Linked DNA regions of Lonchura striata. The protein of the gene in region 1 purifies or fractionates together with the protein of each later gene. This does not show direct contact. Links are inferred from orthologs where the notes say so. Each region holds a gene or a part of one and is shown on either strand. Other genes may lie near its edges. The genes, in order: CBX3, YAF2, CHAMP1 and MGA.

Region 1 (7,285 bases):
AGAACTCTTCTGGACAAGAGAACTCAAACCAAATCACTTCAGCTTTATACTGTTAACTAACTTTAATAATCAAGAAAATATGCTTGGGCCTTTGGCTGTGTTTTCATTAGTGTAGTGGTTGCTTTATATACAACTCAAACATTACAGCAGGAGGTGTAACTGACAAACACAACATGATTAATTGTGCAATGGGGATTAAGATAAATTTTAAAAAAAGAACTAGAAAAACACTGAGACTAAGAAAACAAGCAAAATATTTCTGTGTACATATGCTTTTGGAAGAATTAAGCCAATCTGCACACAGACCAATGTATTTTCTGAAGTTGTCCAAGGTAGGCCTGGATCAAGATGCATGTAACACAGTACAATTACCGTAGGCAGTGACAACCCAGGGTTTTTTTTTCAAAATACACCTCTGTATTACCAGCCTTTCATACTGCAGTCTGACAAGGAAGTCAACTTTCTCCCCTCCTTCTTCCAAATACATACTCTATTTAAGATTGATCAGTTCAAATTTCTCTTGAAAAATATTTGACTCTGCTGTTGGATCTAGTTATTTTTCTTCTAAGAACACAAAGAAAGCTAGTACTGTCTCCTCCTTAGACAAAAGGACAAGCAAAATAAGACACATGTTCACAAGCAGCAGACACATGTTTCAACTAATTCCTTTTCACCTCATCACATAAAAGGAACAAAGAACACTGCACACCAGACCAGTATAAAAAAAACATATTCACCATATGTCATAGTATTATTTATTAATTTTGAGTAAAAGAGCAAAGAAAAATTTTTAAGCAACAATACTGCAAAAATAAAAATCCTCCCTTCAGTTCTGCTGCTTGAGAATTAGGGACCACTTGCTTACAGTTGGATATAAAAATGTGGTTTTTTTTGTAGATCTATGAAATCTATTACCACCCATTTAATAAAGGACATTATTATAAAAATATGAGAATTAAGTAAGTTTAGTAGACAGGCAGGATTTTTTCCAGTGTTATTGTTACCCCCTGAAAACAGCTACAAACCTGCAAACAGAACTCAAGAAACAATTGTAAAATTATAAAATATACAATAACAATTATAAAAATATACTACATATAACTAACAGACATTAAACAGAATAGTAATGCATTTTACAGATGTATTTAGGGTCATGATCTACCCAGAACATCTAAGCACCACACGTCAGAAAACAGCAATAACGAAATTAATTACCAGTTCTTTAATGAAAACCACTGTGCGAAAACAGCACACACGCTGCTCCACTAACACGAAATCTCTAGATGCAGATAAACTATCTGTCTCAAATGAGCCAGTCTGAAGAAGCTCTGGTTGGCCTAACACTAACCTACCAAAGTCCAGAGAGTTCTGCACATCTAAAGTTTGTGCTGAAGGTATAAAATGTACAATAACTATCATCATGCCAGTGTCTCATAGAGTCCTAAGGAAAATACTCTTTTGCTACAGACAGACACCTCATACCTAGGAAAGGCCACAATATAAAAGCTGGAGGTTAACACCTCTTTCAAGATTTCCACAGTATGGCCCGTGGCAGGAACAAAGCACTAAGGGAAATTTCTACCTCTGTAGGATCTTCATGCGTGTGTATTTTAAGCTTTACTCCACAGTCTTAAAGCAACTTGAAAGCACTGAAAAACGCATAGCCTTTACTAAAAAATTAATCACCAGAGAAAGGAAAGGTGTTTCACATAGCTGTAACGTGCGCAGACACAATCCACGCTGACAGCGGAATTAAGAACTCGGGTAACAGCAATGTTTACCGGAGACGAGCGAGGGGGAATCCCTGAACTCCAGAGCTCCGCAACCCCTCAGCGGCAGCTCGCTCGCCGCCTGTGGCGGCCGGGACGCAGCGGCCGCGCCGGCTCCACCATGTGGCGGCAGCGGGAACACCGCGGCCCCGAGCCGGGCGGGGAAAATGGCGCCCGGGAGCAGCCGCCGCCTCCAGGGACAGCGCTGCGAATTGCTGCCAGCGTACACCTACACACACGGTACTAAGGCCTCTCCAGCGCTCCTTCTCGCCCCCGTGCATACCAGACGACTACAGCTGACGCCCGCCTTGCCCACTCTGCCGGAGGGATCCCCAGTGCCTCTCGCAGACGCGAGTCCCAGCCAGGCCGCCATTTTACCCCTCCCCCTCGCCACCGCCATTACCCGCAGCGCCGCTCGGCCGCTCCGCGCCTCGGGGGGCCAAGACGGCCCCCCCAGCCCGCGGGGCTCAGACTCCCCCCGCTCCTCCGACACCTCAGCAGCAGCGCAGCTAATAGCCATGGCCACGGGCTCAAGAACGCGCTGTCCGCCATGCGCGGTTACCGCAGCTTCCGCCGCCTCGCCCGGCTGTGCGCCAGCCCCAGTCGCCGCTTCCAAAACCTTCCTCTGCGCAAAGACATCCAGCATCCGCCCCGCGCTGCGACCGGCGGCAGCGCCTGGACTTGTGCGGACGACTCAAGCTTGCTTGTAATTCTGAGTCCCGAAAAAATTCACTCTGTCTACACAAGCAAACGCGTCTCCCTCCTTAAAAGCAAGGTCTAAATCCACCCATTCCACGTACCATGTTCTTCATGGTTTATGTATTCCCGCTCGAGAGTACCGTACAACTGGTCGGTAATGGCTGCCTGAGCTGTTACGTAATTTGAAATTCAGCTCCGCGTAGTGTTAGCGCCCTCGTACTCCAGCTCGGGCTCGCTTCCGAGGTTTAATTAATTAAAAAAAAAAAAAAAAAAGAAAAAAAAAAAGAAAAAAAAAACTACAGGATCTGGAGCTTAAATATCTCCAAAGGGGCTGCAATTCTGAATAATGCCCCTACGTGTTTTTATCGTGTAATGAAAGTCATCGACTCCGTTAGTAATGGCCGTCTCCGAAATGAGCCGAAGGAGCTGTCGTCGTCGAGCTTATCCGCTTCGACAGCCGCCGGAAAAAGCCGAACCAGGAATGGAAGCCCATTCGACTCGCTTCGGTAATTTCCGGAATCTGCCGCAGCACGCGAAAATGGCGCTCGGGGCCAGCTCGGCAATTTCCGGACAGAAAGACGCAGCAAGTCACCGACTACTTCAGCCAACTCGGCAGTTTCTGACCATCGACAGGCTCGCGAGACGTGCCCGAGCGCAGCCGTAGCGGCCTCGAACGCTACTGGCACTCAATTTTGTTTGGTTTTTTTTATGGAAATTGACAAAAGGCCCCGAAGGCACAAACCTCGGCGTTATTATTAGTCGGGGGCGGCAGCGCATCGCTCCCCGAAACCTCGCCCTGGCCCCCTTCCTCCTCCGCCCAGGCAGGAGGAAGTGAAAGTTACACAGATTTTGGCACAAGTGCGATATATCGCGGGGCCCCGGCGGAGGGAGGCGGACTTCGCCGCAGCTCGCTCCGCTCTAGCCCGCACCATCGGCATCGGGCGTGCTGCCCGCTCCGCCGCGCTGTCCTCTTCTTCTCCTTCATCCCCTCCTTTTTTCCCTCTCCGGCGGCCCTACGCGCACCGCGACAAAGGGTGAGTGCTGCCGCCCCGCGCGCCAAAGAAATGGCGCTGGAGCAGCTCCTTTCTTCCCGCCCCCTCTGCTCCCCCTCCCTTTCAGCTTCACCGCGGATCCACCCGCAGCTCTCCTGGCTGCAGTGAAGGCTCCCCAGCCGACTCCCCCGACCCCTTTTCCCACTTATGAATGAGTTCTCGGGCCCCAGAGCCCCGCAGCTTCCCGAGCCCCCTTCCCTCCCCCCGCCCTTGCTCACACCCAGGCCTCCCCGCCGCAACGCGGGAAATGGCCGCCCTCCAAAGGGGGCCCCTCCAAACGAGCTTCAAACCTACGCCAGCGCTCCTCGCCTGCCCTCCCCACGCCCGGGGCCCGCCCGGCCGCCCCGATCGAGGGCCTCGCTCCGCGGCGGCGGGCAGCATCGGCCCGAAGCGCATTCGCTGCGGCCGCCATGATGGCGGCCGTGGCTCTCGGGGTCCGCCAACCCCGCCCGCTCCCCCAGGCTTACCCAGTCGCTTTCCCTGTCGCCGCGAGGCATCTTCCTTCTTTTGGACGCCTGGCGCGGTCCTGCGCTCGCCCCGCGTTGGAGAGACGTCTTGGCCCCCCTCCTGTGCCGGCGGCGACGACGGTCGGAGGTTGTAGCGGCTCGCGCGTAGGCGGCGGCGGCGTCGTGCGCTCTGCCCCGTCACAGCCGCCGGCGCGCAGAGCTCGCCCGGCCCAGCCCAGCCCAGCCCGCCACCGCCGCGCCGCTCTCCGCCCTCCGCTCCCGCCCTCCCTCTCTCGCTCCCTCCCTGCCCCCACCCCCCGCCTCAGCCCCCCGCGGATGTCGCTGTTGCTGCTGCCGCCGCCGCTCAGTGCGCGCAGGGCGGGAGCCAGGAGGAGACAGGAGACCTAAGCGGCTGGGCACCATTGAAGTCTGTATCCTTCTCTCTCTCTCTCTCTCCCTCTTTTCTTTCGCTGCAGCCGCTTCCTTTCACCCCATTCACCCTCGAGTCCCTTTCCCTGACTCCCCTTTCCTCTGCGGCTCGCTGCGGGCCGCCGCGGGGAGATGCGGAGCGCAACCCGCCCGCCTCCCCCCACCGCCGCTTCTTCCCCACCCCCGCTTCCTTGGCGGTGGGGGGTGGCGGGCGGAGCGGAGCTGTCGGGGAATCGGGGCTTCGGCACCCGCTCGGGGAGGGAGGGAGGGAGGGAGGCAGGCCGGCGCCCGGGCACGCGGGCGCTGTCGCCCCAGGGGAAGGAGAGCAGTGCCGGGGGCGGGGGCAGCGGCACCCGCGCGGCAGACAAAGCCGGCCCGCCGGCGGTCCCTACGTGTGCTCGGCCCGGGGAAGACGTGAAGGGGCGGGGGGAAGATGGCGTGGAGGGGCCCTGTCAGCGGCGGCGGAAGCGGCCCAGGCCTGCGTCCCCGTTACCTCGCCCGGGGCAGCCCCGCCGGCCTCATGTGCGCCCGCCGCAGGCCCGAGGCGCAGCAGGCCTCCGCAGGGCTGCCTCTGGTTTGTGGCGGGGGGGATTGTTGCTATTGGGTTTTGGGTTTTTTTTTTTTTACCCCTTTCTGCTGCCTCTCCGGGGGACGCAAGGCAAGACCTTCGGCACTGGCGCCCTGGCCCCGGCCCTTTTCCCACCTCGCCTAACCCACCGCCCATGCGGCTGCCAAAATCCGCCTCCCGTGTCAGGGGAGGATTGGGCGGGATTGCTGAGTCCGGAAGGCTTTCTGGCCTTAAAGGACTTTTCTGCTTTACCCAGGCATATGGGGAATTCTAGCATTTCTATAGCTCGCTGCGGGGCGGTGACAATACATGCCTATGGAGCTGGTCGGTATGAGAAATGACATGGAAAAGGGGATGGATTGTGTTCAACCTAATTTGCATAGGTTAAATATGTAGTATGTACATCTTAGCTGAGTTAATATTGTTTTAGGACCTTAACTCTTGCCAACTTGAGAATCAGAAGGCAACATTATAGTTGCATTAAGAGAAATATTTGCTGTTTATAAGAATTTGCTACCATGTAAGAATAATGGGTGATTCATTGCACCACAAATATATATATCTTCCCCATCAGATATTTACAGTTAATATACCTTAGGTATGTCTTCAATTGCTAGAATTTGAGCTCTGTTTCTATTTGGTTTAAGGAAATGAGCATCCCTGATGGTCCTCCCCCTTTTCCCTAGAAACATGTCTATGCTTTTGAAGGCCTTGGGAAAAATTTTTTTCAACCCTATATACCACCTTGTCAGTATCATTTATCCTGGCTAGCCTAATGGTGCATTACTGGGTTATGCCGGACAAAGTAGTAACCTACTTTTTGTTCTGGATTTAATCCGTGTAAGAAATGTTGTATGCAGTGAATACATGGGGGTTGGAACAAGGACCATGCTTGTCTTGGGATGCCTTTCTTTGAGTAATGCAAACTTCCTTTTAATTGTCATGCATTTTTCTAGTAAAAGCTCTGCAAGTCTGCAATAAAAATGGCCTCCAATAAAACTACATTGGTAAGTTCATGCACACCTAAAGTATATAAGGATTTAATCAACATATTTTTCTTCAAACTTATAACTTGGCATCTCCATTTAAAAGATACATCCACATCTCCCCTCCCCAGCATTATTCTGACCAAATTTCAGATCCAGAAAGTAAGGCTACTAGAAAGGACATTGTCTTTGGTTTTAATAAATCTGCCATTTCTAAAGAGAAACGTGTTGAGAAAAAAGTATGAAAGGACTCTGCACTATTTCATCTATTCTACAATAGAAAATACTGAGGATTTTTTTTAGCCTCCTTTCAGCATACCATGTAATTCATCATACATGTAAAAAATAAAGTCTAAATCATGTATTCACTTAATTTCTCCCAGTGTATTTGGAGAAAAATATTTGCCTGACAAAAGGCAATCTTTACAGATGGAAAGTAACATTATTGAGAAATGATGTGGCATAATTAAGATGCCTTTTGAAATGCTTTTTAACAAATAACAGTTTCTTTGAATTTCATAGGAGCAGAGATTATCAGATGTCAACCCTTCCTGGACCATTTTAATGATGCATTCATGGATCTCAAGTCCTCTAAAGCTTTGCTTGACATTAAAATATGGACTTCCAATGGCAGTTGGTTGCTGGTTGCAGTTCAACTAATACTGATACATAGTTTCATGAAAGACAGACCTGTAGAAGTATATTGTGAGATGTATCTGAGATTGAGATGGGGAAGCAAGCCAAAATATATGTGCACAATTCAAAACTCCAGCAGCAGAACAGCTGGTTTATAATAGTCTCGAAAGGCCTGTTCTTAAATTTACAGAAATGTTTACTCAGTTCAAAATATATTCAAAACTTTTATTAACTCCTGGCTTAGAAGTGCAACGGAGTGCTTCCTCTGTGTTGTACTGGTTTAAAATATTTCACCGAGATGAATGTCTAAACTTTCTGTTAGTAATTGATTGTCCACTTATCCCTAATTTGAAGAAGAGAAGAAGTTAGCCAGCCTGGGAAAGGGTGCTTTGGAGAGAGGAAAAAAATCTTTTGAATGTGGTATTTTTAATCTTTTGATGTTATTGAGAATTTTGCTGTACAGGTCAGGAAAATCAGTTATGGTTCCCATGGGAACCATAACTAATTCTGCTTAGTTATATATTTGCATGCAAAACCTAAATATGTTAAGGGGTAGGGTAGCTCTAGAGCTGTAATTCCAATTTTCTTACATCTTGTATGTTAAAATTTTACACCACAGTGTCACATCAGTGTTTTAACCTTGCCCCTCAACGAAAGAGTGTTTATCCATAGATCTACATCTGTCATATGTGGTGTCATA
Region 2 (6,883 bases), on another chromosome or scaffold:
CTCTGACGAATTTGGAGCCAAATTTGTCTAAGCATACAGTCAAATTATGACCCTAGAAAGACTCCTGGACTTAATTACCACCATGTTACTCAAGGTTCATGACAGCATATCCCTGCTGATGTCAGAGCCACTCTGTGTGAAACCTGAAGGATATGCTGATGAATCAACTCTCATAAGTGCTATAATTCCCTAAAAAATATACAGTATGTTTAGATCAAACTTGTACATGCAAGGAAGTGAAAACTCTTTTAAAACAGCTTTTAGGCTCTCTGATGTCATGAAGTATTTTAGATGTGGTCCCTCTCTGTTCTGGCCCTTTCTAAAGCAGAATTTCGCTCTCCTGCCTCCACACTCTAGTAAGAGGAGCATGAGTAGTCAGTGGGCTGCTCCCAAGGCTGAGCAAACATAGGCTGGAGGGGCAGTGCTTGCTGTCACCAATCTTATTGTCTTTATTATAGAGTCTGCAAGCAGATTTCACTTTTCACTGTCTCTGATTTTCAATTTTTCCCCACCCTAGTATCACATAGAAACCCAGCCAGGATTCAGGCCTTACTCTACCTAGCATTCCAAAAAACCCCTTGCCAGTCAAATTCCCATTAATTGATTTCATTGTATTAATTTTATTATACCACCACAACCCAAGCAAAACAGATACACTGTGCTGGAATAACATGCATTTGTTCTAGTACAATTTTATACTTATGTGCTATTCCTTTTCATGAATAGGGATTAAAATGTGGTTTATCTACAACATAATGATAATCATCTTTATGGAGAGTTTTTTAAGCTCAAGCAGTGACAAAGTGATTACTTAATTGCTCAAGATGCTGATAATGCAGCAACTGGCACAAGTTTGCTGTGCACAGTGATGGTTCAAGTATTGACTAAATGGCAAGTCTTTGTATGGATTTACACAGCACTAGCTTGTTCTTAATAACCTTGTATGTGAACACCTTTTTTTAGGAACAACTGTAATTTTTTCTGCAGTAAGAATTTTTACACAATAGGTACTTAAAAATTTCTACCATCCTCTTTCACATCTTCTTTACTATGAATAAACTTTTAGCTGAGAAGTCATGAATGCCAGAACATTTATACCATACACCGAAATACATAACTTCCAATAGCTATCAGCATATATGATTTTTAATATCATAATCATACTATGAGCATTTCCCTTGTACAATGCTACAAAAAATATAAATTTTAAGATAATAAGACAACAAACACTAACTAGAGAGTGATGCCTGATGTAGAAAGATACAATTATATTGCTCATCCCTTCTGTCTCAAAAATGTGTTTACATTAACTCAGCTGAATTAAAACAGGAGGCAAATAATTGCTCTGGAAGAACTGTACCAGACAAAGTCAAAATTTAAGGATATCTAAAATTATAGTACATTCATCCCTTTTCTTTCCCAGAAACATTTTTTAAAAGACTGCTAATACTGATGCCATCAATTTTGTCATTCAAAGTTTCTAGATCATGTGCCATACAGACATTTAGCAAAGACAGATGAGTTTTCTGGGTTTACATGAATACCACTGGATGACAAAGTATCTGAGTATGGAATTTTTTACTTTTTCAGTTTACCAAAGTCCCCCTGAATCTCTTCAGTATCTGGCTATTACACACACCTCTTACATATGCTTTCCAGCATTGCTGCTAAGTAATGCCTTCCATCACTGTTTCAGTTGCAGGGATGACATGGGATGGCTTGATGCTGTCAGTGGTCTCCTCTTGTGTTCCTATTTGAGGACAGAACAAGGATGCAAGGAAAATAGTATTTTTTTCCTTTTCAGGATTATTGAAGAATAAGACCCACACTTGCACAGACCCATGGCCACTGTGACTTGCATCATGACCCATACACTTGAACTTTTGAATGTACCATCCACATTTCAGCTTCCAAAATAAAGATTAGTTGGAGCTCAGGGGAAACAAGCCCAATGCTGCTGGGAAAACATGGTTATTTTTAGTCATGGTCATTTGCATGATGACCTTGAAGCAGAAGGTCTAGAACACAACAGCCAGAAAGATTACTCTTTTGTTAGGGATAACATTTATGGATGGCAGTTGCATTTCCTCCTCCTGATTATACATGGTCCTCTCCAAGAATGGTTCCTGAGGGATTAAAACATATCTAGGCACTTTGAAACCACAAGTGGAAATTCCGTTTCCCACAGTTGGTATAGAGAAAGTAGGCTGTGACAGGGGAAAGGTCAAGAGAAAGCAGTCATATCAAAATAATTACTTTCCAAAAGTAGGGAAATAATGTTTGTTTATACAGTGACTGAGAAAGAGTGTGCTGTGGAAAAGGGCAAAAGGAGACAGGTTTCTCTACTGCTTTCCATCAAGAGATTTCTACATAAGGTCAGGTTCAAGCACAGGTGGGATACCTCATATAATTCTGTAATTTTAAACATCCGCTTCTGGACTACTGGTGTAAAGTACTCTTTATAGTCAATGGAAAGAAATAGTCTCCATAAGTGAGACAATTGTCTTAGCATCAGATCAATCACCTTCAGCATGAGCTTGTTTCTCCTGCTGAGAGCTGGGTCTGGGCTCCTAGTCCATGTAGATGTCTAACTAAATGCACATGAGCCCAGGCCAGCTGTCTGTGCGTGGCATGCCTCACCCTCAGATGTGCAATCCGTACATTTTATTCATAATTTACAGAAGACTGCATGAGAAGCCTAAAGAGAAATTGCAATAGACAAAGGAAAGGAAAGGTGAGGCATATATAGAAAGAGAACCGTAAGGTGAGGAAAATGGCAAGAGTGGAAGGTGGACAGGTTTCCAGTTGCTGACACACAGCATTCCTAGAGAGACAGAGAAAACTGTGAATCTCGTAAAAGTGTTATTCATTTGCATAAATGCTACATCCCAGTTAAGCGGTCTTTAATTGCTTCCCTAATGTGTCAAGTGCTTTACCTACATTTTCCCTCTCTATCCTAGTATTTCTAGCTGAAATTTATCTTGACAACTTTGCCTTCAAAATCAGAAAGTTTCTCTGTTGTCCACTTGCTTAATTTTTAAACACGTCTGTGTCTTCATACACTTCAGTAAAACTCGAAATTTGAGCATATTTTGTTATGGAAATCCCATAATTTCTTGGCAATGCAGCAGGAATAGCTTTGGCACTGAGATGCTGACCGGTATAATTTTATTGTCTTCTTGCATTCTGCTCTCTACCTGTGTGTCTAGCTGCTGTCTTTGTTATGCTCCTAGGACATGTGCTCTTTGTTCTATTTGCACAGCACCCTGCAAAATGGCATCCTAGTCTGTGACTGGACTCTGGTGCACTCTGATAATAGAGGTGATAAACACCCGTGTCCTGTCTGAGGTTGCTATGGTGCATGAGAACCACGCTGTTCTTGCAAGCTTTTAAGTGCAAAAGTAGGACCCTGCGCACGGGGACAAGGCAACACCATTCTCCAGGTTTTGTATTGATACCCAGGGTGATCTCCCATGGCCTCAGGCCAACGGGATGCTTTAGACCGAGACTTCTAGGCAGAAGTTCGCATTCAGCTTATCCGCGTTTGTTTCTTACTGTAAACCACTGCCCGGAGCAATTTCTGTGGGAGGAAGCACAGGACGGTCCAGCCGCTAATGCGAGCAACCTCGGGCGACAACACGGGCGGCTTCACGGGAAGAGCCCGCAGGCCGGCGGCAGTCACTCACCGCGCCGCTCTGCCCATCCGCACCGCCTCCCCGCCGGGGCCGCCCCCGGCGCGGCGCCGCCCCCGCTCCGCCCGCCGCCCCCAGCAGCCCCCGCGCTGCCCCGGGCCCGCCGCCGCTCGCAGCGCCCGAGCCGCCGCGCAGCGAAGCTGCCGCCGTGCGCGGCCCGCCGGGCGCCGCGGCCTGCGGGCGCGCTGGTTGGCGGCGGCGGGACACGTGAGCGGGGAGGCGGCGGCGGCAGCGGGAGTTTCCCCGACAGCTGGGGCTTGCGGCGGCGGCTCCTCCTCCCCGGGTCCCCGCGAGAGCCCGGAGACCCCCCGCGCTCCTCCTTATTGACAAACGCACAAAGGGCCGCGCCGGGGCCGGGCCGGGACGCGTCTGGAGCCGGCATGGGGGACAAGAAGAGCCCGACCAGGTAGGGGCAGCGGCGGCGCTTTCTCGTTCCCCCGCGCCCTCCGGGGGCGCGGGGCCGGCGGCGGGGGCGCGCCGGGGGCGGCGGGCGCGTCGCGGCCGGTGCTGCCCCTGGCGCGCGTGTGTCTCCGCAGGCCGAAGCGGCAGCCGAAACCCTCCTCGGACGAGGGGTACTGGGACTGCAGCGTCTGCACCTTCCGCAACAGCGCCGAGGCCTTCAAGTGCTTGATGTGCGACGTGAGGAAGGGCACCTCCACACGGTGGGTCGCCGGCGGAGGGGGAGCGGGGCCGGCGGGGGGCGGCTGTGCGGCCGTGACAGGAATCGGGGCCGGGGGAGCCGCGGTGCATCCCCAGGGTGAGAGGGAGGGCGGCCGTGACAGGAATCGGGGCTCGTTTCTCAGGAGTGGGGGCGGGAACACGCAGCCTCCGCCGGCCGCGGCTCCTCGGTGAACCTGACCCAGCGCTGCGCCGGCGTGTGTAGAAACAGAAATAATAAATACCAGGAAGGGCATAATTGCCTGCACAGCCTAACCCTGGAGGTATTGTGCCCTCTCACGAACAAGAACTGTCCTCTAGGGTGTGCCTGCTAAGACAGTCACCCTTTAAATTTTTTAAAAATTTATTTTAATTTTTTTCCTGTGAGTTTAACTTTGCTTCATACATAACCCCTTTGTTTGATTATTATTGGTAGCATTATTTTAATTTGCTTTTCATCACAGAGCATCACCATGCAGGTTTCCGAGGGCTATAGGGGGTGGATTATAACCCTTCAGTGTTCAGGAGAAATTTTTAGCTGAATTGCGCTTTATGGAATTGTCTCCGTGTGTACCCGTGACTTCCCAGGAGGACCTTTCCTCTGTACACCAGTCACAAAGCTTGCTGTAGATTAACTGGTTCCTGTACCTGCCGGTGGCCTAAACATGTGTGCTTGGGGAATGGAGGCGTTTTACAAACGAACTTGAGTGCACTTGTAGCTATGCATGCTAATAGAAGGTTGCTCAGGAATCCTTTCTTACCTTTTCATACCTACGGGTTAATCCCATCAGCAAGAGAAGTTTAAATGGCAATCAAGTTGCAATCCTATCAAAAGCCACAATTACATTGTAGATATTGGTCAAAGCAGTGATGAGTATGACTTGCAATAAATGTTACATGATTGAAATCGTAAGGGCAACGTTGGGTCCAATTACTCGATAAAAATGATTATTCTTTATTTCTGGAGCTAGTTTCCCTGACTTCTGAAAACCAGAATGAATATTGGAAGGACTTCTCATAACTTCAGTTGTGAATATTAGTTGAATGTTTTTGTTTGTTTGTTTTTTAACAAAGAAAATCAGTAAGGTAAATGTGACAGGAGGGAATTGCATCTGTCACATATATTATGGTTTCCTGTTATAACAATGGCATTCTGTTTATATCACAGAGAGATGTGTACAGATTGGTATCGTTCAGCAAAATAAGACTGATGAATTAATGCAAAGGCTTTAAAAACATAATGCAAAAAGCCTCTAACATCCAATCAGTTTCATAAGAAAATTCAGTTTAAAATTATGTTTTATTGCTTTGGAAGCTCAGCTGGATAAAAGCATTGAAACTTAAAATTTTTTTTTTCTTCTGAGAAACAAATATTTTCATTGTCTTCGAGTTTCCCTGCTTGAATATTTAATATTTAAAATAATTTTTCAACAAATTGTCTTTTTTCTTTTTTTAGTTTCCACTTTCTCCCTGACAGTGACCTGGTATGCAAACTGTAGTCAATAGGTTGATTCTTTTTTCCCCCTCTACTTAAACTCTATAACAATGTGTCCCTGATTACGTTTATGGGACTCTTTGGGACTCTTTTTCCCCCTAAGATTTAGATGGGTTGCATCTTCATATTGCAAAATCCAAGTTTTACACATGGCATGAGGTAGATAAAAGTTGAAGTTTTAGGCCAGGCAGCTTTTGTCTCCAGTTCTGATATATGATTTGAGCCAGTAAGGAGACCTTTGTGTCCATGAAGAGAATCATTAGGGTGCCAAAGAAACACAAAAGGCCATCTGGGTGCTTGTTTTTTTTTCGTTGTGTTTTTTGTTGTGGGTTTGTTTTTTTTTTTTTTTTTTTTTCCCTAAAGACCTCTGGAGTCCAAGTGACCAAATGATTACCTTGGAAAAGCATTTGTTGGTGTTGCCTATAGGACAAAATGGTTTTCATCAACATGGGGCAGGATAACGATGCTACCATGTTTTGATGGCACTGAGAATGCATTATTTATTTATTTTAGTCTTCCATTTTGAAGCTTGATGTTAGATTAAGGTGCTGCATCAGCATGGTTGTTGCTGTGCAATGCTTCTTGCTTAAAGGCTTTAACTGTGGCTTTTTTTACTGATTAGAGCTTTGTCTATAAGACATTGTAAAATGCTACCTTTATTTTAAATTCAGAGCAATCTCTTTCTTTTTGTTGAAATGTGTACCTGATTCTGCATGTTAAAAGTTCATTAAATGTGACCAGATTTGCAGGTGGAAAAACAGGCAATTGTATTGAAGCTAAGTGGATTTGAAGGCCACTGGAAATCAGGTGCAAAGTTGATTAAAGCTTTTTTTATTTTAATACTGATTGTGCACATTTGCCTTTCCAGAAATATTTTCAGGTATGGGTAGGTTTTGTGGGTGTTTTCACTGTTGAATAATTTCTTCTCTCTGAAAGAGTTATCTTTTGTGCCAGAGGCTAGAAGTGGATTATGTTCTTTAGTAACTGATATAATTGTTAAGATTAGTGCAAATTTTTACAATTTCTTGATTATATTTTA
Region 3 (6,968 bases), on another chromosome or scaffold:
CTGCTGGAAGTTCTTGCACAGTTTTGACAGCTGTTGAAGGTCATCAGCATCCAGAAACAAGAGTATGTGTACAATTATGTTCTCAGGCATTCAGTCAAGAAAATCAGGATATCAAAGGAGAAATGGAAACATTTTCAGGGCTGAAAAGGCTCAGTCTTGTTTCCTTAACATTTAAAAACATCCTGAAATACAAAGATTAAAGTTGCTTATATATTGGGAACTTTAAAGTTCCTAAATCAGGGATCAAATAACAAGGAGGAAAACATTTGTGAATATGTTACATAAGGTAAAAATATAACCAGGGGTATTTAGATGTATCTCCAATGAATTGTGATCTCCCTAGCTACACTGTTAGGTAACATTCATTGCTGTATTTGTTACAGTTACTAATGCATAATAAGCAAAAGGCCATTTCAGAAAGTAATTTAGAAGCCTACGGGAAGGAATTGAATGAAAAAATAGCTGTCTTGGATGATTAAACTCCATGCCTTCAAAAGCCTGCTGGCATTTTTACTGAGAGATTTCACCAGTGGATATGGTAAATTTTTGCATGTTGCTTATTAAAAAAAAAAAATCTAGAACTGCAAATGATATTCAAGTGTTTTTCACAATAATATAACCGAAAGGGGGGAGACTTATGAAACTTTAGCATGATTTCATAAATCAAATTTAATCCCTAGATGTAAAGGAAAAAAAGTTCTAAACAAGTTAAAAAAAGAAAGTATAACCATACAGTAAAAAAAAAAGTCTATTTAAAAAAAGTTATTCACTGCAGTTAGTTGAGATGTGTTCTTTACCTATGCTCTGTAATTGATAATCCAGAAAAAAAAAAATCTCTGTGGGATTTCATAACCTCCTTTGAGAGAACTTCTTCACTAGGTTGAAAGGAAATCCTCCAAGTACTCCAAATCACTTACAGGTAACAATAGCATGGAAGAAGTTTACTTAGTCTGTCTAAGAAGAAACCTAATAAATGGGGTACACCAGGTTTATCTGAAATTTAATTAAGTGTTTGATTCCATTCTCAATGGAAATAATTAACTACAGTAGCTGGAAATTAATTTTAAAACTGTAAGATGAATGAAAGCACTGGCAAATCAGAAAGAGATGACAAGTTCAGGATCAAGTGAAAATTACAGGTTATTAGTTGGCCTTGGGTTGACTTTACAGCTATTTCCATGAATGAACAAAGCAGGAGTCAGCATTTTGAGTAATAAAAAGCAGATAAAATGCAAGTACAAGGGGATAAGTAGCAATAATATTCTTAGCTGCAGATTTGGATAGAGTCGACCAGTTGGGTTTTGTTAGTCATGGAAAACCACAATCCCCAATGATAAATGTATAACCTGTAGTTAAAGAGATATGAGCCTGGGACGTGACTACACAGAACACCTGGAGGGTATCTAGCCTGCAGTGCTAGATTTCTCCATGGCATCTAGATGTGGAAAAAATAAATAAATTCCTCATCAATCAGTAATTGTAGTTAATCACTACACTTCCACTACATTTTCAGAGCATGGGCAGGATTGATTTTGTTGGAAACTTAGATATGACTGGTGAAAAATCCTGCTTCTATCCAAGCAGCCGGGGGATGTAACAGATCACTGCTGAATGCTGCCTGTCACAGAGCCGCCCTCTTGGTAAGGAAATGCTGCCGAACCTACAGCCCAAACCTACAGCCCGAACCTTGCCTGAAGGAGCTCTGAGCCATCCCTACCTATCCTCTCAGTGGGTACCAAGGAGAAAAGCTTAGCATCTTTCCCTCTGCTTCTCTCCTCTAGAAGATGTAGAGAGCAATGAGGATGTGTGAGAGACGGAACTATTAAGAGACAATGACTCAAAACATTCTTCATTTGTGGAGATGCCAGGGTGCTTGGTTGACAGGGAGTAGGTGAACTTTTAGTTGTGTAATGGCTAAACCTCTGATCTGATAAGGCACAGGGTGAATGATGGGCTGAGAGTGAGATAAGCGCTGGATCCAGTGGAGAGAATTGTGCCCCTTGTCGTGCCAAGCTGTGCTTCCTTGCACAAACCACTGGGCTGTGGGGCTTGCCCTCCTCCCCCTGGAAATGCCAGGGAACTCAAGTGTGACCAGAGCAGGTTCATCTCTGCTGATGGGACATAATGGGGCAAACTGATTCAACTGCACCATGATCTACAGTATTACATGAAGCTCCCTGGTCCTGAGAAGGCACCTGATTTATATTTACTTGAACCAGAGTGAATATAAACCCAAGAGATTATGTGTTCCGCAGATTCATCCCCACCACTTCTTCGGGACTTCGTCCATCACCTGACCACCACTTTGACCACAATCGCTGGACAGTAATCAAGTCTTACTGTGAGGCTTAGGGTGGTGAGATCCTCACCTTTCCTTTCCTTTCCTTTCCTTTCCTTTCCTTTCCTTTCCTTTCCTTTCCTTTCCTTTCCTTTCCTTTCCTTTCCTTTCCTTTCCTTTCCTTTCCTTTCCTTTCCTTTCCTTTCCTTTCCTTTCCTTTCCTTTCCTTTCCTTTCCTTTCCTTTCCTTTCCTTTCCTTTCCTTTCCTTTCCTTTCCTTTCCTTTCCTTTCCTTTCCTTTCCTTTCCTTTCCTTTCCTTTCCTTTCCTTTCCTTTCCTTTCCTTTCCTTTCCTTTCCTTTCCTTTCCTTTCCTTTCCTTTCCTTTCCTTTCCTTTCCTTTCCTTTCCTTTCCTTTCCTTTCCTTTCCTTTCCTTTCCTTTCCTTTCCTTTCCTTTCCTTTCCTTTCCTCTTTCCTTCTTTCCTTTCCTTTTTCTTCTTTCCTTTGTCCTTTCTTTCTTTCCCCTTGTATGTGTCCTTGGGTGATGTTGCACTTTCACATTGCAATGCTTTCATGTTGTATTACTATAGATAATAACCACCCAAACAGCTCCATACCTGTTTTCCTTTGCAGCCAAGTTGTTCTATAATAAAACCTACATTGTTTATTTACAACTACTGATCATTCAGTATTGTTTCACACTAACGTCCCCCAAGGGATCTAGTAACAAGAACCTGGGTTATCCTCAGCTTCTGTCTTAACAAAATGCCCCTCAGCCTCCAGAGAGTGTTTCCTTAAACACCTCCGGGGAGTAACTGTCCCTGGAGATGTTTAAGGAAAAAATGGACAGGTTGACATGCGGGTGCTCATTCACAGGTTGGAGTTGATTTCAGAGGTCCAACTTAATTGGTTCTGTGATTCTGTAACTCTTTCATTCTTTCATTACAGACAAAATGCACAGCTAAACCCAAAAGACAAAAAGCAATTCCTGAATTGAGGTGTCTAGAACTGGACACACAGTTCCTGAGGTGTGGCCTATTTGGCTGTGCAGAGCCCACACCTAGAGCCCTGCACACATTTGGGGAAGGATGCTAATGGCAGATCCGGGGAAGAGCGATGGAGGTGTCCTGCAGGGAGCGGCTGAGGGAGCTGGGGCTGCTCAGCCTGGGGAAGAGGAGGCTCAGGGAGACCTTGCCACCACTGCAACACCTGAAAGGAGCTGCCGCAGGCTGGGGTCAGGCTCTTCTCACAGGCCACCAGCGACAGGATGAGAGAACACAGCCTTAAACGGCATCAAGGGATTTTTGGGCTGGATTTTAGGAAGAATTTCTGTACTCAGAGGGTGGCTGGTTTTTGGAATGGGCTGCCCAGCAAGGTGGTGGAGTCACCGTCCCTGGAGGCGTTTAAGGAAAACTGGACACGGCCCCGAGGGCCATGGCCCCGTTGACACGGTGGTGCTTGATCAAGTGGAGGACCTCGGAGGTGTTTTGCAGCCTTTTTGTGGCTTTGTGACTCGGTGTTTCTGCGGCTCTGGAACTCTCCCCGCGCCGGACGAGCCCCGCGGGCTCCCGGACGCGGCCGGGCCCCGTGCGCAGCGCCCCCTGCCGGCGGGCGCGGAGCGCGGCCCCGCCCCCGGCCCCGCCGCCGCCGCCGCGGCACGTGACCCGGCCCCGCCTCCCGCCGCCGCCGCCGCCGCCATTGGCGGGGGGAGCCCGGCCCGGCCCCCCCGGCCCGCGCCCGCCGTCCCGGAGTGCCGAACGGTGAGTGCCGCCGCCGCGTCCCGCTCGGCCCCGCTCCCGCCGCCCGGGCCCGCCGCGCTCCCCTCCCTCCCCCTGGGCGTCGGGCCTGGGCCTTCCCCTTGTCCAGCCCCCGCCGCGCGGGGGGCGGCGGCGGCTGGCGGTGCCGGCGCGGGGGGAACAAAACCGGTGGGGCCGCGCACGGGAGCGAAGAGGGAGAGCGGAGGCGGCGAGGGAGAGCGCCCGCCGCGGCGGCATGAACGGGCGGGCGGCGTGGCCCCGGCCCCGGGGGTGCGGCCCCGGGAGGGCCGGGCAGCGGGGAGCCGGGAAAGCCGAGCCCTCAGGCACCCCCTTCCCGCAGGAAAGTTAGAGTGATGCCGGCGGAGCGAGGAGCAGGAGGAGCACGCCGCCGGTCCGCTGTGCCGGGATAGCGAGTTCGGCACGGGACGTGTCCCCGCCGGGACCGGGCCCTTCCCCGGTGACAGAAATAGCTGCCGGGAGCGGCTGCGTCGCACGTGGGAGCAGAGGAGCAGGTGCAGAGCCAAGGCTCACGGCACTTCTGGAGACAGGTCCTGTGAGGAGCGGCTCAGGGAGCTGGGCTTGTCCCGCCTGGAGAGCAGGAGGCTCAGGAGGGACCTTAGCGCTCTGCAACCGCGAGAAAGGAGCGTGTAGCCAGGTGAGGGTCGGCCTCTCCTCCCAGGCAACAAGTGACAGGACGAGAGGACATAATCTTAAATTGCACCAACGGAGGTTTAGACTGGACATTAGGAAGAATTTCTTCACTGCGAAAGTGATTAGACATTGGAATGGACTGTCCAGAGTGGTGTTGGAGTCACTGTCCCTGAAGCTTTTTAAGGAAAGACTGGATGTGGCACTGAGTGCCATGGTCTACTTGACAAGGTGGTGTTCAGTCATAGGTTGGAGCTTGATGATCTCAGAGGTCTTTTCCAACCTAAACGATTCTATGAATTTTTTGCAAGTGAGGAATATAGAAACTTTGGATTTCACATTTCTCTTCTGTAATCTTCCCTTGAACTCCATATTCTTTCAGGGTAGTGTTAATGGAATTCTTAGCATGTTACTAAGTTTCACGACCCTAATTCAGATCTTGACTAGATTGTTATGCTCTAGTGGGTCTAGTGGCACTTCATTAGCTCAGGTACAGCACTGCGACAGTAATGTTTTTGGGGGCATTTTTGGAAGCCAACTGGAAGTGGAATTGTGAATTTGGAATTAGAAAGCTGTAGAAGCAGTACATGGAATTAATTTCTTCTGTCTTGAATCTGTCGAAGGTATACTGATTTTACTCTGCAATTTTGACTGTTGATAGATCTTCTATCAAGAGCTAATGTTGTGTAGACTTGTCATTCTCTTCACAAAGATTGAAATATTGCAAAATTGTTGCAGTTCTAGGTGGTTTGTTTTTCTTAAGTCATCTGTATGTGTATCAAGTATTGTCACTTTGTAGATCTCTCCTGACTTGAACCTTTCCTGGAAACATGGAACTTCATAATGCAGCATTTCCTTCCTGGAACTTGTGGCTCTCACGTTCTTAGCATTCCTTGCTGTTTCAGTGGCTGGTTGGGTCAGAGTGTTTGTGCCTTGTGTAGATGTGTAATTTTAAAGACCTTGTTCAGCAATTGTTGCTGGTGGAGCTTAGCCTGAGTAGATTGGCTGATAGCTGGGAGTTCAGATGTGAGGTTGTAGTCAGATACTGTGGATGCTTCTGGACTAGCAAGAGCACAGGGCTGCCTGTCTTGTTCATGGTGCCTTGGAAGTGATGCCCGTACCTGCCTAGTGCACTGTGAAGTGCCTGCTCTGCCCCACGGTGGGGTGTTTGTGTGCAGCTTCCTCTGGGAGCTAAACTTCTCTTTGTCAGTCACAATACAGGGATGTAGCTTCAAGAGAAGTGTCATGCTGCCACCAAACTGCCATTTACTTTTTGGCACTGCAAGAACATGTAATTTTTCCTTTTGCTTAAACCCAGCAAAAGTCTGGATCTGTTCCTGCTATCAGAGGCAATGATGATGCTGTATCTCACTTACCTCAGCTTTCTTTTTCTGAGAACAAATTTGCTGTTGACCCTCCTCACTGACAGAGGTTGTGACTGAGCTGTTAGTCTGCAAGAAACTTCCAAGGCTGATGAAAGCCAACAGTGATCCTTCCTGCGCAGTGACTGGTATAGGGAATCTTATGTGTGGTTGTAGCACATTGCAGAAAATCACAGGGCTTTCTTCTGGGTCATTTTCCCAGCTGTGTTGGTGTCATTAAAGCATGTTGCATGTTCTCTCTCTGCTTCTGTTTCACCAGGCTTCATTGAGAGGAAAGGGTTATATATTCTTCTGAGAGGAAAGAGTTATATATTCTTCTGCCCCTGAGAACCAAGACACAATGATGTAGCAGACTACTTGTTGCTGTGCTCTGAATTTCTTCATGTAATGTAGAAAGCAGTCTAATTCTCTGTGCTCACTGAGAGTCTAGATCTTTAGCTTTGAGCCCTTTGTTGCTTCCCTTGGACAGTCACAGCTTATCTTCAGTAAAGGAAAAATGCAGTATATAAAAAACTAGTATATATTAACTGTTGCAATTCTAAGTGTAGAATGTGTTTATTAAAAATTACCAGGAGTGATTGGAAGATTTGTAGCTGTGAAATTGGAATGGAGTTAAAATGTATAGACATCCTTGTTTGCTGCCAGAGTCATGTTGTACCAACACTTGCATGGATTCCTTCTTATGTATAGGTATCTCCTCTGCATTTTTCTGCTTCTCTTCCACTGGGACGTTTTTGAGAGGCTGTAGGAAGTATGGCTTAATCTTAACTGGGATCCTTGTGGAAGATGGGTGCAGAATCCAGGGACCATCTCTGACATGGCTGGATGTGTTGGCTGGGAGGACATCAGGAGGTCTCTCCTCTCTGTGCATTAGCTTGGGACACTCCTATTGCTCAGTTCAACAT
Region 4 (7,973 bases), on another chromosome or scaffold:
AGGACAAAATTTTGCCAATGCATAGGAGCTTCTAGATGGTCTGCAATGGTCTAAGAATGGTTTCCAACCCACCCAGAAAACCTGTGACCCCACTGTTCTGCCTCTGAGCAGCACCCCAGCGCCTGATGCCTGCCTCATCCCTTTCCTCTACTCTTCCCTCTCCCTTTTCCTTCCTCCTTCTTACCCACCGGGTAGGCCTCCAGCTTTGGGGAAGTTGAAGGCCTTGACCCTAGTATGCCAGTGGCAGTCTGGGCTGGGGGGGCAGAGTTTGCCTCTTGCAGGAGGGACGAGTGTGCCTGCTTCATGTCTCCTTTCACCGGGAGAAGCTGCAGGGCACGGGTAGAGTCTGTCTGTTAGATCTGTAATATCGTTTGGGGCTCCCAAAACTGCTTTAAATGAGGATGCTGCAGCATGAAAACTACTGGCTTCACATATCTGAGAAATCACCGCCATTTTCAGTTTAAAAGCAAATAATTCTAGGAGCCAGGAGAGGCTCGGTGCTGTCGGGAAGTTCAGCCAGGCGCGCTGGCATCGGGTGCCTCCGCGCCGCAGCTGCTTTCGCACCGCCGCTGGCAGACGTGTGCGAGCGGTTTGCAGCCGGAGCTTCCTGCCAGGCTCCAGGACAGCTCCGTGCTCACGTGGATGCCGAGCGACCGGCGCCGGGGCTCCCGCGGCGCGTGTACGGCCGTGGAAGAGCCCTGGGCCGGGGGACGGAGGCGCTCGCTGGCCGCGCCCGCCCGCGGGCCCCTGGGGCGCAGGGCGGCCGCCGCCCCCATCGCACGCCGCGCCCCCCAAGCGCTTCGGGGCAGGTTTGTGCCCCGGCCCCCGCCCCATCTACGAGCGGGACTCGGGTCGGTAGCGCTGCGATAGCGATCTGACCCGGGAGCTGCTCCGGCAGCCTCCTGCCTCGGGCTTGCCTGGGGGAATGTTTAACCCCTCGCGTGCGGTGTCACCGCGAGGAAGGGGCAGCCCAGGGTCTGGGGATGGTGGGTTTGAACCATTCTGGCAGGAAAGGCTTTGTTAGGCTGCGGTCCCTTCAACACGGGAAAAGGAAGGACAAAAGACTAGGCTCGGCTAGGCTTGTGGCAGCAGAAGAGCCAAAACTGCGGCACACAAAGCAGTTGGGAAAGACAGCGAGGCTGGAAAAGCTCCTCCGGGGTGGTCGGGGCTGCTCCCCTCGGCGAGCGATAGCCTTTGGCCAGATCCCAAAGGTACCTTGTGCCCTTTAGGAACTCGCCTACAGCAAGAAAGCCAAATCCCAGCGTCTCGCCGCTGATGCATTCCCAAGGGGTTTCTGCGTTCAATAAACACCGTGCCGGGAGTAAACTGCAGAGACGCGCCAGCAGCTCCTCTCCTGTGGGTGCTGCCGCAGGTCCCCCAGCTCTCTGTGGAATGACTGAAGTGAGGAGCTAAAGTGCAGCCTTGTTTCACCTCTGCTTTCTTTGGGCTGGGGAAGGCAACATCTTGGGAATTCGGAGGTCGCAATTGTCCCTGGTCCTCGTGGAGGGAAGCTGGGACGATCCCTGAGAAGGAGAGGACTTGGCCGCCTTGCAGTCTTGTGTAAAAGAGAGAGCAGAAGCCCAGCCTCAGAAGCACAGGTTCCTTTGAGTGTCCAGAGACAGGAAGACTAAAGAGGGAAGGCTGCAAGGGGGAGCAGTCTGGACCTCGATGAGGTCTTGGGGGGCTTTATCACATTGTGAAACAAAAACAGCAATGAAGTTAGGGGCACGTCTTCTGCTTTGCCTGCCATTTTTCTTTGTCGAATTATTAAAAAAAGCTGGACAGACTTTCCTCCCAACGTTACCTCTCCAGTCCCAGCTGCTGATTCCTGGCCTCTGGCTTTGGAAAGAAGAACCTTTCTTGCTGTACAATTGCACTGTAATGTGCAGCTCTGGTGACCAGTATAAGGGGAAGGTTCGGGTTTAAATTGTGACAAGGAGGCACAATAGCAGCAGCTCCAATGTAACCAAGGGAAAACCTCAGAAAGCAACCATCATCAATGAACCCTTTCCATGAAGGTCATTATTTGGAATACAAAATCCATGCTGCAAAGCTAGTAAATGTCAGCTTCACAATTATCTCAGTGATCTTTATCTGGTTCCCATGTGTGTAATGCTGATTTCATGAAAAATTCACACATTATTTTCTTCATATGATCCTGACTCGCTCAGTGCCCAGGAAGTTCCATCCTTAATCTGACATTTTGCAGGCTTTGAGTGATTGATTAAAGCATTTACATAACATACTTCAAACATGAGGGTTGTGGTGGTTGTTAAATGAAATTATTGTCATTTAAATGTAATTATTTTTACATTTTGATTAATTATAAATGGATATTATTAAAAGGAGAAATTTGTTTATAGGGGTTGGATTTCTACAGTCATCATGAATAAACAGAGCAGGTAATGAGTTTGGCAATAAAATGCCAGCCTTAGGCATAGACCAGATTTAGCACCACCCTTTCTCTTTGTATCACACTTCCTTCCTCCCACAAGCTCAGCCCACTCAAAACCTGTGTAATTTATTCTTATAAAAGGATATGCCTGTTTCTGCTCAGTTTTTAAAAGCCCTTATTTCCTAAATATGCTCCTCGGTGGGAACAGTCCTATTGGATTTCCAGGCCCATTTTATAATTCTTAATAGGATGGGTGGGGATGGAAGAGCTGAAAAAGTTGGGTGTTGATTTCAAGTGAAGAGGCCCACAGTGAACGATGTGTGAACAGGAGAGTGGAGAGAAATGGGATAGTGAGTGGGCCTCTGGGCAAACAGATGATGTGGAAGAGCAGTGTGGTCCTCGGGCAGACAGGGCCCTGGAAGAACAGGTACTGACTGCCCTTTTTCACTTCCCCCTTTAAAAGGTTTTATTCAGAAGGGAAAGGAGGGGGAGAGGAGGATAATTCTTTTTCTTGCTTATTTAAGGTTCCTCAATCTCTATTGATCTTTACTTTCCCAATAATTAACTTTCAAAAAAAAAAAAATAGCCAACAAACAAGTTTTTTTCTGCAAAACCTCACTTGTAATTTGGGCACCTCTGTTTCAAATGATGTGTACATTTTTAAAGTTAGATTTTCTCAATCTAACTTGCATAGGAACTTCTTCAACACAACAGTTGTGAGATCTACCTCTTCCCAATAAAAGATATTTTTTGCACTTAGAGACCAAAACAACAAATTTTCTTTTTTTTTTTTTTAATCTGTTACACGAAGTTGGCTCATTGCTGTAATATTCACAAACACCATCAGGTTTCCTTCAAAACTACTGTAGTCATAATGTCTTTTCCTCCTGAGAGATTATTGAAAACTTACTTCCCTTCCATGTGTTATCTTTTATTTTTCCAACTCCAATATCTTTGATTGCCTTGGCATTACTTCTTTATCCTTTAACTGTAATGATGTTGCAAACATATAAATATCAAACAGTACATTTTATTTGGGCGGCGTTTCCTCTGTTTGGCCTATTAACTAAAACAGATCCCGCAGCTGAGAATTGGGCATTTTATCCCTTATAGCAGCAGAATTTCAAAGAAGCTATCCCTAAATCAGCCCAGAAATTCCAAAAAGACATGTCCTAAGTCCACCAGTGCTTTCTCCATTGACACCCAAACCCTTCTGAACTTCAGCTGTAAGACTGTAAAAGCCCAACAAAAGTTTATGTACCAGTTAATGTATCTGCAACCTTTGTATACAGATTCCTCAAATATAATGTAAGTTGTGAGGGAAGATATCTTTGATCTTCTCAGTGATCTGAGAACCAACCACTCAATTTGGTATCAATTCAATGCAAAGTTCAAGTTTGGAGAAATATGAATCTCTGCCTAATGAGACACTTCCCCTTTTACATCCCTCATGGACTCCCCAGCCATACTGCCACACATTCTCAGTAATGTCACAATGCCTGGGGAATGCAGATTGCTGTGATGACTGAGCACCTTTCCAGGCCAAGACCTCCAACACAGAAATTTCAGCCCAGGGCTACATTATGGTGCTGTTTGTCACCAGCTTTTCTTTAAATTTTAAATTGGTTTCCATTACATGTGACCTGCCTTTACCTTAGACAACTTGAAATTATTTTTCAAGACTGCACGGGAGGCCTGGCCGTACTCATTGATGCAGCTACTGCCCTCGGTTACAACTGCCACACAGCTCAGCCAACCTGCACACGTCCATGTTGCCCAGAGCTCACGGGGATTTCTGTATTTTTTTTTCCCATCAACATTTGTTCCATTATTTAACTGTACACCAAATAAAGGCTTTCTGGATAAGTCTCCAGAATCACCTTTGAGTACGTCCCTATGCTGACAGTTTTTATTTAACTCTTTCGGCTCACACGTAGCTTCCCGGTGACTCGGGGATGGGTGTGAGTGCAGTTGCGTGCAGCTCCACAAACACTCCCGTCCCCGGGAGCCCGGCCGGGTCCGAGAGCCTTGTGCGAGCGGCAATAGCACCCACAGCGTGGGAATCCTTCTGCACTCCAGCATCGCTCCTTCGGCGTTCGCTCGTAGCTCCAGCTACCGCCAGAACATCGCACCCCGCAGCACACGAGCCCCTCTTCCGTGATTCACGAATGCGGAAGGCGGAGGAAAGACGAGGAGCCGCGGGAAGGCGCCGCAGGCGGCCGAAGGCGGTGCGGTGCGGCGGCAGGAGCGCGCCCACGGGGCCGGCGCGGCCACGGGAGCGCGCTCGGGGCGCGGCCGTCCCTCGGGAAGGGCGCGCGCGGGGCGCGGCCGCCGGCGGCGCTACCGCGCGGCCCCACGCGCGAGCAGCGTGTTATCCCTCGCGCACGGCCGGGGGAGGGGCGGGAAGGGCGTGGCCGGCGGCGCCCTGGGAGCGGAACTGCGTCGACGGGCGGATCCGGCCAATCGGCGGCGCGCCGCTGGCGGGGCGTCGCGAGGCAGCTGCACCGCACGGCCGCCGCCGGACCCCGTTGCCCCCCGCGCTCCGGCACCGGCCTCGCGGGGGGGCGGGAGACAAGCCGGGGGAAGGGCCCGGGAACGTGCGTGGCCCACGTGATGGACCGCGGCGGCCAATGAGGGCGGCAGGAGGTCGCGCGTGGCGGGCGAGGGCCGCGTGGGCCGGGGCGTTGCCGGGCGGCGCGCGGACTCAGGTAAGAGCCGGCCGCCCCCCCCTCCCTCGGAAGTTTTTCACTCGAGGTGGCGCGAGGCGTGCGCGCGTCACGTGAGCGCGGCGGCCGCCCAATCACCCGCACGCGCGCCGCCTGCCCGCGCGCTGCCGCCGCGCCCGCGTTTGAGGCGAGGGGGTCGCGCGCGGGACGGGAGCGGGACCGGCGGCCGCTCGCACCCCTGGCGCGCCCCCGCGCCGCTCTGTTCAGGGGTGCGAGCGGGCGGGACCCGGGGGCGCGGGCAATGGGTAGCGGCCGGCGGTCACCTGACCGGGGGGATTGTTTAAAGGGACCGAGCGGCATCCGGGCTCTCCAGCCGGGAAGGGTCGGGTGAGGCCCGGCCCCGGGCAGCTGCCGCCGCTCCCTAAGCCATCGCGCTCCGAGGGATCGGCCCCCGGTGGGGGCGTGGCCGGCGCCACCTATGAGACGGGGCTGGAGCGCCGAGAGAGCCTTTCCCGGGAAGCGGCCCCGGTGCCCCCTGGGTGGCAGAGGCCGGCGGGCTGGGCGGGGCCGGAGCGGGGCCCCCCGGCCGGGGGCGGGGCGGCCCGCGGGCGGCGCGCGTGCGCCCCGGCAGGGCGCGGGGGCGGGCGCGGGGGCGCGCGGCCCTCGGTGCTGCCCTGCTTGGAACCGCTCGCACTGAGCTGGTGAGTTTAGAAGGGAGTCGAAGCGCGAAGGCGAGCTCAGTGAGGAGCGGCTAGGCACGAGGGCCAGCGGCTGTTTCAGCAGCCCGGGGAGATGAGTGGCTTCCCAGTATGTGGTTGGAGCATCTTGCCTGACTCATTGTCAAATCTTGCACAACAGTCACGCTGCCTTGCTCCCGACGTGAACTGTGTGAAGGCATGGGCCGTGTGTAATCGCACTTGATGAGATGGGCTACAGCTCCGAAGATTTGAAGTTGCTGCAGACTGAAAACCGAGGGCAGTTTAAAGAAGAGGGGCAGGCTGAAGCTTTGGTCTTGTTGCTTGCAGCTGTTCTGCCCGATGCAGCTGCAGCACCCTTTCAGTGCCCTCGGGCACAGTGCCTTGTGAATCTGTACAGATAACTGGAAAGGGAAATTTATTCTGCTTCAAAAGTGTTCCCATAGGTGAGCATTTTTGTACAGCTTTTTATAGGGAGAAAAAACCCATATTTCTTAGGTCTGGTGGAGATGGGCAGCATTCATTCACTTCCGTATTTCATCTAACAGCAGATGGCTGTTAACCTCACCCATTGCTGGCTCAGTATCGGTTCAGATGCTGTTGTTCCTGCCATGGGAGAAAACGTGCAACTAGAGGAAACCAGTGGTGAATAAACTTGTTTGGTTACCTTCCAGGAAAAAAAAAAAAAAAAAGGAAATTATTTTTGAATGTAGGCTGCTTCTTCATTTATATGCAAATCCACTAGATTGTTTGTGAAGCTCGTGATTGTTTTTAAAAACAACCTTAAGAAATGGGAAGTCCAAGACATTTTCCTTACAAACGCAATGAAATAGGTCTCTGCCTACTGGAGTGAGAAAGAGCTCTTCTTTGTGAGGAGGCTGTTGTCTGTTTGCTGTTTCATAGACAGCAGAGGATCTACAAAAGAACACTCAGTCATGGCATGTGCATAGGGAGCAGTGCCACTAGTTGTGGCACTAGCAGGGCTTTCCTCTTGTCTTTTTCTTCCATAACTAAGGATGTGTTGTGCTGTGTTGGTTTGCTTTTTTTGTTACTCTTTCTTAACACTGGATAACCTTAGAACAAATAATCATGGTGATGGTGGAGCTGCTCTTCTCTTTCCATACAAAGATGGTATGTACTTTCACTGTTGGATTTTGTCTGGTTTTAGTACCTGGGATAAATCCTTTGCTGAGCTGAATAAGGAAGAATGCAGTGAGAATGATATGTGAGAGAAGGATGATGAAGGTGTGTCATAAGAAGAAAGCAACCAGAAGAAAGCTCTTTTGTTTTATTTTTTTTAATCAAGCCCAAAACAGAAAGGCATTAAAGGAATGTGAACAGCATAAAAGAGAGAAAATGAATGGGAACTAGATAAAACCTATCTACAATAAAAATGCAATCTTTGTTCCAGTGACAATGTCAGGAAAAGCCAGTTTGGACAATGACAAGACTGTGACCCAGATACTGTTAAACAAATATTTGTGATGTTGGAATTGTGCTGTTTTGCTAACTCTTGTACAGTACTTTCTGTTAATTTGGTGTGGTCTTATGACCCCAGGGTAAGTCAATAAACAGTAATGAAGAGGGATATAAACCTGGAGCACATCACCAATGATCTGGACTTGAATGAGTGTCACGTTCTTTTTCCCCCTAAAAGGGGAATAAAGGTTCCTTGGCAGCTCTAACTTGCTGAACCACTGGTGACTCTGTAGCAATGAGTATTGCTATAAAATAACTGGATAAGTAGGACAGTCCTGAACTCGGGTGACGGCTTTTTATTTACGTCATTTTTGGTTTTTTCTTCTATGATGTGGACAAGATCCCCAGCTGAAGATTCATGTATGTGATAAATGTTCCTTATGATGGCCATAAAGGGATTGAAATTTATCAAAATGGTGCTATTCCTGCTGATTATGTCTGGTTTCTGCCAGTGTTGCATGGCAAAAAGCATAAAGCATTACTTCATTGTTTTATTTTGTGATTTTTGGTAGTTGAAATAATAGTATGTTAACAAATACAGCATTCATTGAATGTATGAGCAATGGGCATCTCACTCACTGCTGAAATATAGGAAGTAATGTAAAATACATTAACCTAAATATAACATGTTGTATATAGGTAAAAAGAGCATTTATTATTAGTTAACTTTACTTTCCCCCCTGGCCTCTCACCAGTGATTCATTCTTAACAGAAATCACAGAATCATTTTGGTTGGAA

Evidence for each region.
Region 2: the proteins of CBX3 (region 1) and YAF2 purify together in Homo sapiens (affinity purification with mass spectrometry; 4 studies listed by BioGRID and IntAct, with this or other methods). This does not show direct contact. The link is inferred for Lonchura striata from reciprocal best matches to the Homo sapiens genes CBX3 and YAF2.
Region 3: the proteins of CBX3 (region 1) and CHAMP1 purify together in Homo sapiens (affinity purification with mass spectrometry; 6 studies listed by BioGRID and IntAct, with this or other methods). This does not show direct contact. The link is inferred for Lonchura striata from reciprocal best matches to the Homo sapiens genes CBX3 and CHAMP1.
Region 4: the proteins of CBX3 (region 1) and MGA purify together in Homo sapiens (affinity purification with mass spectrometry; 4 studies listed by BioGRID and IntAct, with this or other methods). This does not show direct contact. The link is inferred for Lonchura striata from reciprocal best matches to the Homo sapiens genes CBX3 and MGA.

The regions. Positions count from the first base shown.
Region 1 is NC_134603.1:123,910,342-123,917,626, reverse strand, and holds the start of CBX3 (chromobox protein homolog 3), read left to right. Parts: upstream 1-4,272; 5' UTR 4,273-4,393; intron 4,394-5,919; exon of another isoform or gene 5,920-5,946; coding exon of another isoform or gene 5,947-5,970; intron 5,971-7,285. Other genes in the region: HNRNPA2B1 (heterogeneous nuclear ribonucleoproteins A2/B1), read right to left, coding at 3,988-4,017.
Region 2 is NC_134607.1:38,823,479-38,830,361, reverse strand, and holds the start of YAF2 (YY1-associated factor 2), read left to right. Parts: upstream 1-3,879; 5' UTR 3,880-4,072; coding exon 4,073-4,098; intron 4,099-4,228; coding exon 4,229-4,354; intron 4,355-6,883. UniProt on the Homo sapiens protein: Binds to MYC and inhibits MYC-mediated transactivation. Also binds to MYCN and enhances MYCN-dependent transcriptional activation. Increases calpain 2-mediated proteolysis of YY1 in vitro.
Region 3 is NC_134604.1:90,839,317-90,846,284, reverse strand, and holds the start of CHAMP1 (chromosome alignment-maintaining phosphoprotein 1), read left to right. Parts: upstream 1-3,949; 5' UTR 3,950-4,036; intron 4,037-6,968. UniProt on the Homo sapiens protein: Required for proper alignment of chromosomes at metaphase and their accurate segregation during mitosis. Involved in the maintenance of spindle microtubules attachment to the kinetochore during sister chromatid biorientation.
Region 4 is NC_134608.1:37,052,799-37,060,771, reverse strand, and holds the start of MGA (MAX gene-associated protein), read left to right. Parts: upstream 1-4,968; 5' UTR 4,969-5,103; intron 5,104-7,973. UniProt on the Homo sapiens protein: Functions as a dual-specificity transcription factor, regulating the expression of both MAX-network and T-box family target genes. Functions as a repressor or an activator.